Linked DNA regions of Saccharomyces cerevisiae S288C. The gene in region 1 interacts genetically with each later gene. Each region holds a gene or a part of one and is shown in the gene's direction. Other genes may lie near its edges.

Region 1 (4,894 bases):
TATCGATTTCATTTTGAGGATTCCTATATTCTTGGGGAGAACTTCTACTATATTCTGTATACATGATATAATAGCCTCTCCCAACAATGGAATGCCAACAATTATCGAATTATTCACCAGTTTCTCAGGTATACCTTGTATACCTAATATCTTGTATACCTGATATCATAATGTTCAATAACAGTAAAGTGCTAATAATTATGTATTTTTTTGCCGATTTTTCAATATTTCACCTGTTTATCGGTGTCAAAGTACTACGTTTAGTTTACTGTAGGGTTAGTTGATTTTTTTACGGCTAAATTTATGTTGTATTACGGGCTCGAGTAATACCGGAGTGTCTTGACAATCCTAATATAAACAGTCTTAGGGAAGTAACCAGTTGTCAAAACAGTTTATCAGATTAATTCACGGAATGTTACTTATCTTATATATTATATAAAATATGAATCATATTAAGTGGTGGAAGCGCGGAATCTCGGATCTAAACTAATTGTTCAGGCATTTATACGTTTGGGTAGTTCAGCTAGGGAAGGCCGGGTTTTATCTCATGTTGTTCGTTTTGTTATAAGGTTGTTTCATCTGTGTTTTATGAACGTTTAGGATGACGTATTGTCATACTGACGTATCTCATTTTGAGATACAACAATTTACAGTTGTACTGGTCCTATAGTGTAGTGGTTATCACTTTCGGTTTTGATCCGGACAACCCCGGTTCGAATCCGGGTAGGACCTTTTTTATTCATTTTTACATAATATATGCTGAATATATTGGTTAAAGAGGTTTTTTTAGTTCCCAAATGTCCACAGTAAAGTAGATAAAGCAATAGCTATTTCCATCAAATCCAAACAATATTGTATTACCCACTTATTATTAAACAATGCATTTATTGGAGAAACACCCGCTTTCCGGGTAATAGCAGTCTATTTATTCTCATTCATTTATAAGCGGCGGAGAAAAATGATTGAGGAATTGATATAATTACACAGTAACTTTACGGAGCCTAAGGTAACAAGTGAAGTTTGGATAGCAGTTTTATTCCCATTTTTATCTGCAGTATAGGGAACTTGGAATCACCTTTTGAAAGAAGAGAAATGCCTGGATTTACAGCTCCAACAAGAAGGCAGGTGTTGTCTTTATACAAGGAATTCATCAAGAATGCTAATCAATTCAATAATTACAACTTCAGGGAATACTTTTTAAGTAAAACAAGGACTACTTTCAGAAAGAACATGAATCAGCAAGACCCAAAAGTGTTAATGAACCTATTTAAGGAAGCTAAGAACGACTTAGGTGTCTTGAAAAGACAGTCTGTTATTTCTCAGATGTACACATTTGACAGGCTGGTCGTAGAACCATTGCAAGGAAGAAAACACTAAAACCTGGCCTAACTGGTCATTGCATGTAAGAAAGAACTTTCCAGTAATTTTTTCCTTCTCACGTCAGGAAATTCGTATGGTTATATCTTATAGAGAGGTGGCCGCCTTTAATTTGGAAAAGATATTATTAGATGATATTCCTAATTTTCGACCGATACTTTGCATGGTTGGACTTCAATTAGATCATGTAATTTACTTCCTTAATATCAATAGCATTTCTTTTTTGGTAGAAGATTTTTCTTTTCTTTTCTTTTCTTCAACCCACATGGGACTATAAGAGGAGAGTTTATAGCTTGTATATAAAACGCTATAACTAAAACATAAGCCCACTCTGAGGTGAGATGTCTTTACGGTATGATAACAAGCTGATGCAATGAGAGATCCTATGAATTGCTTGGATTCTTTTACATCAGGCATAAAGTTTCCGAAGTATGCAATAAAATGAGTATTTGCTTATTTATTGTTTGTATCGGGCGATCTTACACCTACTTTATGTGCGTAATAGTTGCATCTTCTTTTTTCGGACCATTCCATCGGATAAACTTCTTAGGTAAAAGTGAAAAAAAAAAAAAATTCGCTTATATATTAATCAAGTCATCACTTGGAAGCCGTTCTCTTCCGTTTACAACACGAAGAGCCAACTGTTTTCTTGTGTCATTCTTTAGCACTCTTTCTTTTTATTTTTACATTTTTTAATTAAGATCACCAAATATACCGGGAATATAATGAAGAGAAAAACTGCTGAAGTTAAAGGTGAGAAGGAGAGAAATTCCAAACAAATTTCCCTCGAAGAGGACAAGATAAAGGGTATGTTCAACCCTAAAATCTGGGACAAGACTTTCCAGGATGGCTTGAAAAAGGAAATTGAAGACTCTCAGCCTTACAACTGGGGTACTATTCATGAATTGGTTAATGACGATCTTCTACGTGCTGTTCGTAAAGAAATAGAAACTGAGATCCATTTCACTAAAAAAGAAACCGATATCTATAGAGTCAACCAAAGTGGTGACTTGGCCAATTTGTCTGGTCTGGACTGGGATGACTTGTCCCGTTTGCCTAATTTGTTCAAGCTGCGCCAGATTCTGTATTCCAAGCAATATCGAGATTTTTTTGGCTACGTCACCAAAGCTGGTAAATTGTCTGGTTCTAAGACCGACATGAGCATCAACACTTACACAAAGGGATGTCACTTGTTGACTCATGATGACGTTATTGGCTCTAGAAGGATTAGTTTCATTTTATACCTACCAGATCCCGACAGAAAATGGAAATCGCATTATGGTGGTGGTCTAAGACTTTTTCCAAGTATTTTACCAAACGTTCCACATTCCGATCCATCTGCTAAACTAGTTCCACAGTTCAATCAAATTGCTTTTTTCAAAGTTTTACCGGGTTTCTCTTTCCACGATGTCGAAGAAGTCAAAGTTGATAAGCACAGATTATCTATTCAAGGATGGTACCATATTCCACAAGTTGGCGAAGAAGGTTACATACCTGGTGAAGAAGAAGCGTGGGTCCGTAACAACACATCCACTTTGGCGCAGATTGAATCTAATGTCCTAGAAGATTTTGAATTTCCAAAGGACGAGAGAAATATTTTATCATTTCATGAAGTGAAGCACTTTGAAAAAATGCTCAAGGGCGATGCTGGCGCAAAAACTGATAACACACCTAAAGAATCTATGACTAGTGTGATTTCTGATTCGGTTAAGTTGTCTGAAGCCGAGTTCACCTATCTATCTCAATACATCTCTCCTGAACATTTAAGCTCGAAAGGTATCGAAAAACTACAAAAGCAGTTTGTTGAGAACTCTTCTCTACAAATTGAGTCGTTTTTAAATGACGATAAATCAGAATTGTTAAAGAAGGTTATCAAACAAAAAGAGTTGGAACAGGAATGTCCTTATCATTCAAAAGATGTGAAAGCTCCGTGGAAAACGGCTATTCCTCCACACAAAGCCCGTTATTTGTACATCGACGGTAAGGAATACCGTAATTTCCAAACAGAAGCTGATATTCTTGAGGCGCTGAATAACAATGATTTGCCAAACTTTCAGTTTACTAAGGACGCAATTAAAATTATCTCCGATGCTTCCGGAAATAGTAGGGAAAACAATTTTGATGCAGAATTAGCGTTGATTGACCTAGCTGTATTTCACAAGAGCACAATTTTCAAGAAATACCTAGCTCTTCTAACTTCTTTGTGCCCAGTCAGTGAGCAAATCCTTATTAGAAGGTTTAGGCCAGGAATGGATTTCACATTGGCCACCAAATGTCGCTTTAATGAACTTTTGAAAAGCAATCCAGATATAATCGATGCTGTCTTGGAAGGTACTTTGTGCTTGACACCTTCTGCCGGTTGGGAATCCGGAGAGCTTGGTGGTTACGAATTGTACATGATGGACGACGACGAAGATAATAAGCAATACTTAAAGGAAGACGTTGAAGACGCTTCTGTTTATCGTGCGGATGACAGTGGTGATTCAGTATTGATTAATGATCCACCTGCTTGGAATACTTTCAATTTGGTCTTGAGAGATGAAAGTGTTTTGGAGTTTGTTAAGTACGTCAGCTGGAGCGCTAAATCTAGTAGATGGGATGTCAAAATGAAGTGGGATGTCAAATCATGTGATGAAGATGGTCAGGAAGATGAAGCGTAAACAATTAACCCGTCTTATTAAGTAAATGGCAGCTTAGATATTTATAAAGTTGTATAATAGAAGTAATAAAATTATTTGAAAAGTTATTCGTCAATTTCAGCTTATTCCTCTGGCGTGAATATCATTACCATAATCCAAATTCGAGTAAGCGAATAAAACGGGTATATTAAAGAAATATAAGAATGAATATAAGTTTAACTTAAGATCTAATTGCGATTCTTTTTACATATTGTATATTTACAGACAGAACTATGAAATGCCTTATTTTCTTAATTATTTCATGTGGAGAAGCATTAGTGTAGTACAGTTCACATTAATCCTATTGCCTGGCACCGTCTAATGGCTTTCGATAGTCTTCTTTGATTCTTTGCCGATAAGCCTGTGATATCCCTATGTTGGATTCTTCCCGTGGAGGTCACATATCTTGAAAGTATTCTTGGTCTTGCATAAAATTCTAGTGGATTTGCACCGGACTTCATTATATCGTTCCTGTTTGAGTTCTTGTTTGCCTGATATTTTCTATCTAAATGGATTCGTCCCATAGAGAAGTCAAATGGATCGTAGATAGTACCTTTGGGAAGTTTTTTGGACAAAGACTGATCGATTTTCTTTGTTTGTTGCGTTCTCCCCATTTCAATATTGACACTCTTCTTTTCTTTGATACCGAAATTGTATAGAGCACGTTTAAATGTGGAGCTTACTGCTCCCTTGATGATAGGTTGCATACCGTTTTGAATTTTTATGCCTGTGGTGGCATTCATCTTGAACATCCGAAGTTTTGTGTAGAACCTTGCCTTTTTGGTTAGAACTGTAACACTGTTAATAATGGACTCATATTTAAGTATGTAAAGTAATCC
Region 2 (4,109 bases), on another chromosome or scaffold:
CGGTCTCTGTTGATATTGTTGTTGTTGCTGGAGGGCTTTTCTCTGTAACTCTAACTCACGCTCTTGAAGTTCTAATTCCTTCATTCGTACTTCTAACTCACGCTCTTTCAACGAGGTTTCATCTCTGGATAATGTTGTATCAGATGTGGAGTTGAAAAAAGATTGTCTTCTGCTATCATTACCACTACTATTATTACCTTGGTCACTCCTTTCGTAATTTAAATCAACATCAACAATGTTATCAGAGGGAGATATACCATTAGTATTACTATTTGGGCGATCAAATAATGAATTGTCTCCCATTTGCACTTTCTTCTTTAAAATTTCCAACTCTTGTCCATTATTTGCTTTACTTGAGGACACTTCTTGTTTTAAGCTCAAAACTTGACTTTGAAGTTCTTTTATCTCATTTTTCAGGGTTGATTCCGAATTTTGCAGCTGCATGATTTTTCCATCTTTAAGTGCGATACTGTTTTGTAAATCATCAACGCGAGTTAACGCTGTGTTCTCATCCTTTCTAATAAACCATTCAGAATCACCTTTATTTAACAATTGATATTGAGTCATCATTGTAAACAAACATTCTAAATATGGTGTCTTCACGCCAAAGTCATCTGCTAATAATATCGGCTGTAATAACAATAAGTCAATATTCAAAGATGAAGCCTTATGGATGAAATTATATAAAAGTGCCGGCCCATCAGGTAAGTCTTCGCACTTATTCTTCCAATGTTTCAATATAGTCTGTTCATTTTGAAAATTTGGATTGTTCATGGCTATACCCATTTTTTTTATTATTAATAAGCTCTCGCCTAGTAAACCTGAAATAAGAGGTTTGGCCAAAACGTGGTCATCCAAGGTTGATGGATTCTTCTCTTCTAATATTATTAATAATGGATCGAAACATATTTGAGGCAAAGCTAGTTCCCATTCTTTTGCCAAGAAAGCGGAGGGAGAATGATCGTAAAGAGTCACAACGTCCCTAGGAAACAGTTTTTGGAACAATTTCTGAAATGTATTCAAAATAGGAATAATATCACTTGAATAGCTGTTTTCGTGAACGGATGTCGTTTGACCGATCGAAACAGAAAAGGATTTGGCATTTGCAGTCGTGAACTGTTTGTATGAGCCATTGTCCAACCGTCTTATGTCATAATCGGTGAAAATGCTGAAAATATTTGACAGCGAAAGATCAACTGAAGCCTTGATGAATGGCTCCAAATATATAAACCCGCTACTTTCAAATAGTATCTTTGTTGTCTTATTCATCATAGGTTTTATATCTCTCAATACCTGCGGGATTTCTTGCAGTGAAGACGCACTCATTATTATCAAGTCGAATACCAAGCCACCATTTTCATTATTAAGGTCTACTAAATCTAGGAGCGATTGGAAATGGTTTTGAATCTGAAACCGTTCCGTCCCATAAAATAGTGAACTAACCTCGTAGTTGGCATTTTTTGAGTTGTTCACAAGATAAAATTCTATATTTTTGGCATGTTGAAACCTGGATGTGTACAGAATGAGATTTGGGTGATCTCCGCATACCAAAACCCTTAATGCAGATGTCATTATTCAATATACCTATCGCGAGATATGCCGGGAATAAAATGTAGGAAACAAAAAGAAAAATATATGCACAGTAGTTCAAACAGAATAGAAATGACGGAGAGCAAATATTTGGGTAGAATCACAGACTTTAGTGTTGGTTACAAGCTTTTCGAATGGATGTAGTTTGTAATCAAAGGACACTAATAATAGCGAAAAAAAAAAGGGCAAGTATGTTGGCAGTCGCCTCTTTTTCAATTTAGCGGTAAGTTTTTAATGAATGGCCTGGTGATAATAGATATGAACAACTTCGCTATCGTGTATGCCAATATCACTTTTCTTTTCTACTACTTACTCGACTTTACTCTACCTTTTCATGTTTGTAGATTTCTGTTTCATTCTAGTCTCGAGAATGGCCCACAGCACGGCCAACAGGGGGCTGCGACAATTTCGCGTAGAGCCCATTGTGAAAAAAGCCACCCAAGCTATTATTGTACACAGAAGAATATGGAAGCAAATCGCCAGTGCTACGTGAATGGGACAAAAACATGATGCCTTGTTTAGTATTAGCATTTTAGATACGCCTTTTCAACTTCAAATTGTGCTATAGATAGGAAGATCTCTTTATTACGCAATATATGTTGTGTGTATTTAGGATAAGACTATATCGTCCAACCATACACCGCGTTTCATCTTGTCTTTTTTGCAGCTAGTAAGAATTAAGCATCAAGAATTGTTCAGTTTGCGATGAGTAATGAAATATATTTAAAGAGGACTAATGTTGTTAAAGTAAGCAGTGCTTTTTTCACGCAGTGTATTTTTAGAATAAGTGGCCATGGGTTATATTTTGACAGGATATTCTAGCCGTCATGATAAGAGAAAGAAACATGCACTTCCTTTGCATCGGTATGCATCGTCTTCGATAAACTTGCAGCACCATGTGCATCTCTTAGAGACCCGGGTTTCATCCAAGAGGCCAATATCGGAAGATCAAAGGACTATCAGGCTTCCTGCGAAGAAACTTAGGCATCATCAAAAGCTAACTTTGCAAGATTTACCTGTAGAGATTATTCAACATATTTTCGTTTTCACAAAGGGTGAACCGTCGATGGTCACCTTGAACAGGTTCTTCTATAGTTGCTTGAAGCCATCTTTTTCATTATTATCGAAGATCATGTGGGAAAAATATCTTTTCGATCCCCTGGAGTTTGGCGTAAGTAATATAAAAGCTTATTCAAGAAATATTGTGATCCCTACATTATTTGAGCATGAAACTTTTTTTAGACTACTACTAGATCATCATCCTATCCTGTTGAAAAATATTTCTCATTTTCTTCCCAGAAAGCACTATCAAGATATGCAGAATGGCGATTTTGATACATCTAAAGAGCTAGACTTGTGTTCAATGAACACTGAAGATACATCGAAAGAAGACTTCCCTAAAAACTTTTACAACAATATGCATATTTTTTTAACACGTAGGGAATGTGTGAAGTCTCTAGGTAATCATTTTACTTTGAAGAATCCATATGATGTGATATCCCCTTTTATAGAATGGTTTTTTCAAGGTATTGATATGCAAGGAACTGACCTAAGCCCTAAGTTTACCTTTGTTTCTCTATTTGAATCAATAGATTTAATCCTATACGTCTCTGGATCTACAGTGCAAAAACTAGCGTCTATTGAACCCCTTACGACTGTAATATTTTTATTATATTTCACGTATGCTGATTCACTAGGGAGTCTGAACTTTGAGTTTTTTTTGCAGAATAGATCAAGATTACAGCTCATAGAGAAATTTATCCTGAAATATTATTACAATCCATCATTGACAGAAAACGAACTTTTATCTGATAGCACTATATGGGACCTGTTAAGGCGGGTGTCTGATTTAAAACTCATAGATTTGGTCGTTAAATGCGGCGGAAGGCCTCAATACGGGGTTATGTTTGCATAATTAAATTACTTAGTATTAAGATTCTGCCCCTTGCATGCATGCACAATATGTGCTTGCCAATTCATTTATGTACAAAAGATGGTGTTATATAAGGAATATATTTTGTTTTCTTTGATATTTTCCCTTTCTCATATTCTTGCGGTTTTTCTGCTTTCATTACGTCGCTAATTAGTTTGTCAAAAATTATAACACCGTTAGTTTCCAAGCAATAATTATATAAGGTCCCGTTAAAAAATATCGATAATCAAAAGGTTTTCAAGTAGCAAGCAATAAATAGCTTTCCGAAGACTAAACAGGCTTTCATAGTGTCTCAGTAAGCGTATGGATGGACAACGCAGTTGATGACAGAGAAACACAAAACTATGGGGAAATTTAAGGTTATTGTATTGGCAGGTACTGCAGGTACAGGAAAATCAACCATTGCAGGTGAACTAATCCATGAATTTAAAGATATATACCCGGATTTGAAATTCATCGAAGGTGATGATTTACACCCGCCTGCCAACGTAGAAAAGATGACAAGAGGGATTCCATTAAATGACGACGACCGTTGGGACTGGTTGAAAAAAGTTGCCGTAGAATCTACAAAAGCTGCAGCAAGCAC
Region 3 (5,107 bases), on another chromosome or scaffold:
ATACTCTTTATTTATTAAGCTTTTATGAGAATCCGAGACTTTTCCAAATTTGGTCCATTACCCGGGGGTTAATATATCTTGAATAAACCATTGTATTATATCTCACTATATAGTAATTGTACAGTTTTGTCACTACTATAATCTATGCCACACCTTGCGGTTGCTGCTACCATGTCACATTCCCATTCTGCTAGATTCATGCAATTCTCTTAATATTTCAGTGGGTGACGTTAGGTAATTACCTTCTTTAAAACTTCATCTTCTTTTTTGTCATGTCTTTGTTAATATCATTCACATCACTTGTTGGAAGCTCTTCATTGCTTGTATTGGAGTTGCCGTTTGGCCCCAACGTCGTGGTGCGAGGAGAGATACCGCTGTTGCGTCGCCTCTTTGCGTGCAAGGGCTCGCTTCCACTGTCCTTCTTGTCGGCGTCAATGTACGCACTTAGGGCGGTCACGGGACTATCAATGTTCTTTTCAATTTGAAACTTTCGAAGGTTTTTCAAAGTAGACATAACGGTACTTATTTGCATGACTCTCATCAACCCTTCTTGAGTGCCAAACACAGAGACGTTTCTGAATACGTCAAAATATGATCTCAGCTGAGTGATGGCCTCAAAATTCGGAGGAACATTCGTAGCATTATTTTCTGCAAAAGAATTCCCTTGCTCTTTGACATCTTCTTGTTTCAATTTACGGAATATTTGTTCAATTTCTGTAGACTTTGTGTCATCACTCAAAAGCCGTTCCACTGCATTCCATTCAATATCAGGGACAAAACTATGCATAGATACGTCCAGCCAATTAATTTTCAAGTCCAAATCGAAAGCACCTTTCATTTGGGAAAAATGTGTAATATATGAACCATCAGGATAATAATAGACAAATGTGACACGAGGACAGTTGAAAAAAATCGTAGAATTACTTAGAACTTGTGTTTTCAATTGTAAAACCTTAACTTCCATTCTAACGATGCCAAATCTGCCTAATGTAGAGCAAATAACTGGGAACACTGGGATGATAAATTCGAATTCTCTATAATCTGTCATAGACTTTTTACTATACCTTATAACTGCATCAGGTGTAAAAATATCTGATATTAATTCTGTCCAGAATGAAAGCAGGCCAATCTTACCCATTGCCGTATTCACCTCATTTATTATTTCGTACAATTTCAACATCGCCAAATTAGATAAGTATTTTCTTACATGATACGGCACCCGTAACATAGATAAAGATGCCTGGGATGCAGACCGTGGTAACGGAGCAGCTGCCGTTGCTGCTGTAGCCATGGGATGGGGAAAGGATGCTACCGGCGTAAACATTGGCATAGACCCGCTGCCAGGGCCCCCAGTTGCATTCGTATTCTGCGCAGAGTTGTGAAAAGTTTGAGTCACTTGTGGAAGCTGGTTAAACACCTGCTGTTCTGATGAAGGCTGTGGAAATTGACCCCCCTGTGGTTGACCTGGAAATGGCACTTGTTGTGGATAAACCGTGGGCGGTATATTCTGCTGCGCGGTGGGAGGAAAGTTAATATTACCATTTGGGTACGGTGGTGTGTTATTATTCACAATGTAAGGCATCGGCACAGCTTGAGGAGGCGGTTGCGGTGGGCCTTGGTACATATTGCAGATAATCTTTGCTTTTCCTTCTGCCCCATGAACAGTGTCAAGTGTTGTCTTTATTGCTCCATAGTTAATATTTTTAGTTCAGGCGGGAAGCCCCACAAGATGAGAAAAGAAATCCGAGAGGCTTAAACAATACTATATGGGGCAAAGTTCTGCTCTATATAAAGAGAGGCGCATTTGCAAGAAATAGTTAAGAACTTTCCATAAATTGGTCAGATATAAATCAATTTATCGTGCTCAAATATACTATTCAGTTTCTCAGATATAGGTTGCACAAATTGGCAAAGTTCTACAAGAGTCATTCATACATCCCCTGATGAGTAAGATACTATTCTGCAAATCTAAAGTGTTCTTACACCCAACAAGCGATGCTAGAGATAATATTGCTGGTTTCCTGCTACTCACATTGGAAGCGAATAAGCTATCCCACCAAGCAATTCTCCAATATATCCCAGAATCTGGCTTATCCACATTAGAGATATCAAAACTACTAAAACATGAAGCTAAAGTGGGCACATGTCCAACTTCTACACCATTTGTTATTGAAAATTCAATAAACTTTAGTAACCTGGTCAATACTTCTTTAGGTCAAGCTTTCGAAATTTCTCTCTCACAAATATACTGCATCCAATTTAGGCCTCCTAGTCCAAATGGTTGGTATGTCGGATCTCTGGTAATATATCCCTTGACAGAACAGTTTACGGGCTTTCAACCTCCTGTCTTGTTCTTTCATGACCAACTCTGCCCATCAACTACGGACAAGTTAAAAAGACTACGCAAATCCATGAACCCATTTGATGACTCGGACGAATTGTATTGGGGTGGCGTAGATTTGAGAAACAAAATCAACGAACTGATGGAACTCAAGAAATCAAACTTAGAGCCAGAGTTTTGGTTAGTAAATCCCTCTTTGAATGATTTGAGAAATTTCGTTTCCAAGGATCTATTGGAAAGTTATAACAATTCGAAGAAAGATACAACTGAACTCGCTACCGCCGGTGTGAAACTAAACGAGAAATTCCAAGAATGGAAATGGAACGTAATGAGCAAGATAGCAGACGTGACTACCAAGTCTACCAATTTTATCGATAGTTGGCTGACTAACAACTCACCCATACAAAAATCACAAATCGACAATGAATACTTGCAAAAGCTTCTGAACAATGAGAAGGTTAAACAAATTGAACAGGATTATGACTCTGCAAGAGTGTATTTGGCAAACTGGTCATTAGGAGTAAAACAGGAAGCTGAGAGGTATCAAAAGCAGAACAAACTCTTTGATTCGTATAGGAATAACATTTTCAACGACCTGAATCTAACTGATGAATTAAGTGATACTGAAATAAATAATGCTCTGCAAAGACAATTTCCTTTAACGGAAGCGAAATGGAATTCGCTATGGGATGAGAACGATGGGAGGCTGAGGGTCACGGTAAACGAAGTTAAGGATTTCATATTTCATGGTGGGTTAGAAAATGACAGTTTGCGAGGGAAAGTTTGGGGTTTTCTCTTAGAAATATATCCGTGGGATTCTTCTCAAGACGAGAGGGTACAAATCGATCAAACTTTAGCCGCGGAATACGATCAATTGAAACTAACCTGGTCAAAAGATTTTTTACAATTTGACGATGAAGATGAAGAGGAATATTGGAACGATCAATTATTCAGAATATCTAAAGATGTGAGACGCTGTGATAGAAACTTGGAGATATTTCAATACAATACCATCGATGGATTACCACCACCGCCACAACAACTCCCAGCAAATGAAAATAACAGTACCAGCCCCGAATCCGCTAATGACGAGAGCGATGATGCAGACGATGGAGTCAGGAACCCACATTTGATACATTTACAAAACATTCTTATCACTTATAATGTCTACAACACAAACTTAGGCTACGTGCAGGGGATGACCGATCTTTTATCGCCTATTTATGTCATCATGAAGGAAGAATGGAAAACGTTTTGGTGTTTTACGCACTTCATGGACATTATGGAAAGAAATTTTCTAAGAGACCAGAGTGGCATCCATGAACAAATGTTAACTCTCGTGGAATTGGTACAATTAATGCTACCCGAATTGAGCGAACATTTAAACAAGTGTGATTCAGGAAACTTGTTCTTTTGCTTTCGAATGCTTCTAGTATGGTTCAAGAGAGAATTTGAAATGGAAGATATTATGCACATTTGGGAGAATTTCTGGACTTTCTACTACAGTTCACAATTCCAATTATTCTTCATGTTGGCCATTCTACAGAAAAACTCACAAGCTATTTTACAACATCTAAATCAGTTCGACCAAATATTAAAATTTTTTAATGAACTTAACGGGAAGTTGGATTGGAATGACCTAATGGTTAGAGCAGAGCTTTTGTTCAAGAAGTTTGAGAAAATGATGCACGTCATGGAAAGAGATTTACAAAACGTATCCTCCTCTTCATCCTCATCCTCTACCGGCGTATTGCCTTGTCAGAGCGAGAGGTTGACCCTGCTTCTTTCTAAAAAACCTATCATAAGACATGAAGGGCAAAGGAGCAAAAATTCCGTTAAATAGTGGTAAATAGAAACGGAACTTTACATATTGAATACCGGAGATATAATTCGTTTATGCCACATAATCATCAATACATCCGTAACCCGCCCGAAACGGAAAAACTGAAGAAAAATTACATAAAAAGTTTAATATTTTTATCAAATTTAATTGAACCTATATTTAGGAACATTATTGTTTTTAATTTCTAAACCGGTTGGGTTGGTCGATAGTTGTGCTCTGGATCATTGATAACCACTGACGTGTAATAGTTTTATTTCTTTGAAAAATTCAAAAGAAATAACAACACTCGTTCTCGGAAACAAGAAAATACACACAATAATGTCTACTATTCCCTCAGAAATCATCAATTGGACCATCTTAAATGAAATTATATCTATGGATGACGATGATTCCGATTTTTCTAAAGGTCTAATTATTCAATTTATCGACCAGGCACAAACAACTTTTGCTCAAATGCAACGACAGCTGGACGGTGAAAAAAATCTTACCGAATTAGACAATCTGGGCCATTTTTTAAAGGGTTCTTCTGCTGCATTAGGCTTACAAAGAATTGCCTGGGTTTGTGAAAGAATTCAAAACTTGGGAAGAAAAATGGAACATTTCTTCCCCAACAAGACCGAATTGGTCAACACTCTGAGCGATAAATCGATTATTAATGGAATCAATATTGATGAAGATGACGAGGAAATAAAGATACAAGTGGACGATAAAGACGAAAATTCCATATATCTCATCTTGATAGCAAAAGCTTTGAACCAGTCTAGGTTGGAGTTCAAACTGGCGAGAATTGAGTTATCTAAATATTACAACACAAACCTATAATCGTCATCATTTTATTCACACCTCCGGATAATCCATTCTTCCCCGGAAAAACACATGTACAATATATATTATATATATATATATATGTATATCAAATCATA
Region 4 (3,128 bases), on another chromosome or scaffold:
AAAGGCATTCCAGTCGAGTTTTGCGTACTTCGTTTATATCTTTTGTGGTGCTAGTTTCCTCGCTGTCAGGGTTGGACCAAGGCCTCATATCTGGTAACGTTATGACTTTGTCGTTCCAGAAGTATTTTCATTACCCACTTACTTCTCCGCTGGGCAATATAGTGAGCATTGTTAATCTGGGTGCGTTCATGGCGTCGTTATTTGTCTATTCTGGCATCCTGGAGCCTTGTAGCAGGAAAAAAATGCTCCAAATAAGCACAATGATATACTCTTTGGGTGCCATTGTTCAGGTCTTGGCTCTAAACCAATGGTGTTTACTACTGGGTAGATTCTTACTCGGAGTAGGTATGGGCTTTGCCTTTTCTATGGTAATAATTTATCAATTCGAGTTTCCCCTTCCCTGTATAAGAAAACGGACATTAATTTCCATTCAATGCGTCTCTAGTGTCATTGCGTATTCATTCGGAATATGGATTAATTGTGCTTTCAGATATTTGGGCTTTGCATGGAGATACCCTTTGTCAACACATGTGGCACTTGGAATAATACTAAACCTAATGTCGTTCTATCTTATTTTAGAGTCCCCTTCGTGGCTGTTGAAGCAAAAGAACGACGTAGAGGCATTGGTTTTAATATCGAATGTTTTCGATGATGGAAATTTCGAAGAAAACCAAACTCAGTTGAAATTTAGGGTCCTGAAACGAGACATATTATTAAAGTCACACCTTCAAAAAAACTCCTATCCATATGCGTATATCTTAAAGGATTTTTCTTCAATAATAAAATTGTTGATAGGTTTCCAACTTCTCACACGAACAAATGGAGTGGATGCTTTCTTGTATTACTCACCGTTAATATTACAACAAATGGGGAGAGGAGAAAGAAAATCTATCTATTTAACGGGGCTTAATGCTTTAATTTACAGCATCGTAATATTAGCATATGTTCCCTTGGTGTTACGGAAACGTAAAGAGAAAACGAATGTACTCTTAGGTTCGATTGTGATGTGTGCATTGCTATTTACCATATCTTTTACAGACTGGTTTCCCAAGAGCACAACGAGGTATATATCAATACTATTTGCTGTTTTTCTTTTTACGCACTTCATCAGTTGGGATTCTATAGGATGGGTTATGACCATTGAGCTTCTACCTCACTTGTCACAGGCCCCAGTGATACTACTAGTCTCAAACTTTTATTGGATTTTTAAGTGGTTCGTCAGCTTAATAACCCCTATACTTATTGACCGTCTGTCTTGGAAGTTTTATCTTATTCCATCTTTATCTTCCTTTATTTCCATTATATTTGTGCTGAAGATTTTTCCTATAGAAACCCGTGACGAAAGGTTAGATTCTGATGATGATTCTACCGGAAACGGTAGCGGTAACCATGATGATGTTTTTGACGATACCGGTTCTGAATTCTCCTCCTCACCATCTTTTTCCGCGTATCAGATAAACACTCTAGGAAGTAGTATCAAACAAAATAATCAAGCCTATTCATCTATTCAAAATGAGCAGATTCTACCCAAAAACGGAAACTTATCGAACCAGACACACGGTTCTGCACAAAATGTTTATTTCATTACATCTGATTCAGGACCATCAAGGACTGGAGAATTTTTCAGTTTTCATAACAGAACCGATCCAAATATCAGCGACAACATTGCTGCGAATAAACCCAGTTCAGGTGGAGGCCAGAATTCGCCTGGAGACATGGCAGTTGCCTAGTATGGCCTCATAAAAATATTTGCTTCATCCTAAGTATAAATGTTTAGTTTTATCCTACATACATATTCTTATTATAGTCATTAGAAAAAAGGCACGGCGCTATTGGCCTGGCAGGGCATTTAAAATGCGGTGGAAACAAGGAAGATTAATCAAGTAATGATATAGCATATGCACAAAAAAAAAATTGAAAACGGTCGCATTTTTGATCTAAATGGACCAACGATGAAGGAACTGCTTTACTATACATTCATTGAAACTGAAGTGACTGGTGCATTTTTGGTGTTTAGGGAAAAGACTCAAAACCTTGTTTTTGCCTCGTTAGGTAATGATAAGCTTTTTTTATTGGGAAAGGTGGAAGGCTTCTTGAAGAAACATGAGAAACAGGATACAATGTACGATTTACAGGAACTAAAAGAGGCAGAAACATATAAGAAATCAATCGAAAATTATACAATATGTTTAGAAAACAAAATGCCATTACCATCGGGCGCTATTCCCTTTGAGTTCCTGTTTGGAACAGATTTTCAACGTAAAGTTTGGAATGAGCTTTTAAACGTGGAACACGGCCACGTCGTAACATATGGTGATATTGCAAAGAGAATAGGGAAGCCAACTGCCGCAAGATCTGTCGGAAGAGCTTGCGGCTCAAATAACCTGGCATTGTTAGTACCTTGCCATAGAATCGTTGGTAGCAATAGAAAATTAACCGGATATAAATGGAGCTGTAAACTGAAAGAACAGTTATTAAATAATGAAAAGGAAAATAGCTTAAGCCTTAGTAGATTGTAGTTGGATAAAGGATTTTAGGAAAATAAACATAAGAAATAGTTATGTATATGTGGTAAATTGTTCTAGTTATACATCTATGTTACAATATGGCTGGCGTTGGTAATCTTGTGAAACAAGCGACGAACTTGTCACCCTTCTTTCTTTCCACTTTTTTACCTTCTTCTGTGGCATTTCTCATTATTTTCACACATTCATCGTTTTCTTCCCATTCTTTGCTCAACCGTTCAAATAAAGGATGCTCTTCTAAATGTTTTACCATCCACTCATGCAGGTCTTTGACGTCTGTAATTGTGTACACGACACCGCCCTCTTTCAAAACATATGCGTACTCACTCAGCAAGGTGTTAGTGATAATTCTTGCCTTATGCTTTCTTTGTTTGAAATGAGGATCGGGGAAACAAAAAAACATTTTAGAAAGCTGGCCCTTTTCAAAAAAGTTGGGCAAGAATTTCATAGCGTTACCTCTCAAGACATTAATGTTTTGAAATCCATGTTTTGAAGCTGTATTGTTCCTTAAGGCAATAATTCTATCCTCCACGTAATTTGTAACCTGCACACGAATTTCCATCCCTAAGATAAGATCTTCAGGGAAGGCTGGTGATAAATCTA

The links.
Region 2: mutations in TPA1 (region 1) and YDR249C together harm fitness more than expected from each alone (negative genetic interaction), as found in Saccharomyces cerevisiae (2 studies listed by BioGRID).
Region 3: mutations in TPA1 (region 1) and GYP7 together harm fitness less than expected from each alone (positive genetic interaction), as found in Saccharomyces cerevisiae (2 studies listed by BioGRID).
Region 4: mutations in TPA1 (region 1) and MGT1 together harm fitness more than expected from each alone (negative genetic interaction), as found in Saccharomyces cerevisiae (2 studies listed by BioGRID).

What each region holds. Positions count from the first base shown.
Region 1 is NC_001137.3:249,626-254,519, forward strand, and holds TPA1 (oxidative DNA demethylase), read left to right. Parts: upstream 1-2,102; coding exon 2,103-4,037; downstream 4,038-4,894. Other genes in the region: ISD11 (Isd11p), read left to right, coding at 1,093-1,377; mitochondrial 37S ribosomal protein bS18m RSM18, read right to left, coding at 4,346-4,762. UniProt on the Saccharomyces cerevisiae protein: Prolyl 3,4-dihydroxylase that catalyzes 3,4-dihydroxylation of 'Pro-64' of small ribosomal subunit uS12 (RPS23A and RPS23B), thereby regulating protein translation termination efficiency.
Region 2 is NC_001136.10:958,077-962,185, reverse strand, and holds YDR249C (uncharacterized protein), read left to right. Parts: upstream 1-2,383; coding exon 2,384-3,505; downstream 3,506-4,109. Other genes in the region: PAM1 (Pam1p), read right to left, coding at 1-1,572; YDR248C (gluconokinase), read left to right, coding at 3,847-4,109.
Region 3 is NC_001136.10:33,314-38,420, reverse strand, and holds GYP7 (GTPase-activating protein GYP7), read left to right. Parts: upstream 1-1,943; coding exon 1,944-4,184; downstream 4,185-5,107. Other genes in the region: MFG1 (Mfg1p), read right to left, coding at 248-1,624; YPD1 (Ypd1p), read left to right, coding at 4,503-5,006. UniProt on the Saccharomyces cerevisiae protein: GTPase-activating protein (GAP) that most effectively accelerates the intrinsic GTPase activity of Ypt/Rab-type GTPase YPT7 involved in vacuole docking and fusion. It is also active, but to a lesser extent, on YPT31, YPT32, YPT1, YPT6 and SEC4.
Region 4 is NC_001136.10:99,892-103,019, reverse strand, and holds MGT1 (methylated-DNA--protein-cysteine methyltransferase), read left to right. Parts: upstream 1-1,952; coding exon 1,953-2,519; downstream 2,520-3,128. Other genes in the region: YDL199C (uncharacterized protein), read left to right, coding at 1-1,730; TRM8 (tRNA (guanine46-N7)-methyltransferase), read right to left, coding at 2,599-3,128. UniProt on the Saccharomyces cerevisiae protein: Involved in the cellular defense against the biological effects of O6-methylguanine (O6-MeG) and O4-methylthymine (O4-MeT) in DNA. Repairs the methylated nucleobase in DNA by stoichiometrically transferring the methyl group to a cysteine residue in the enzyme.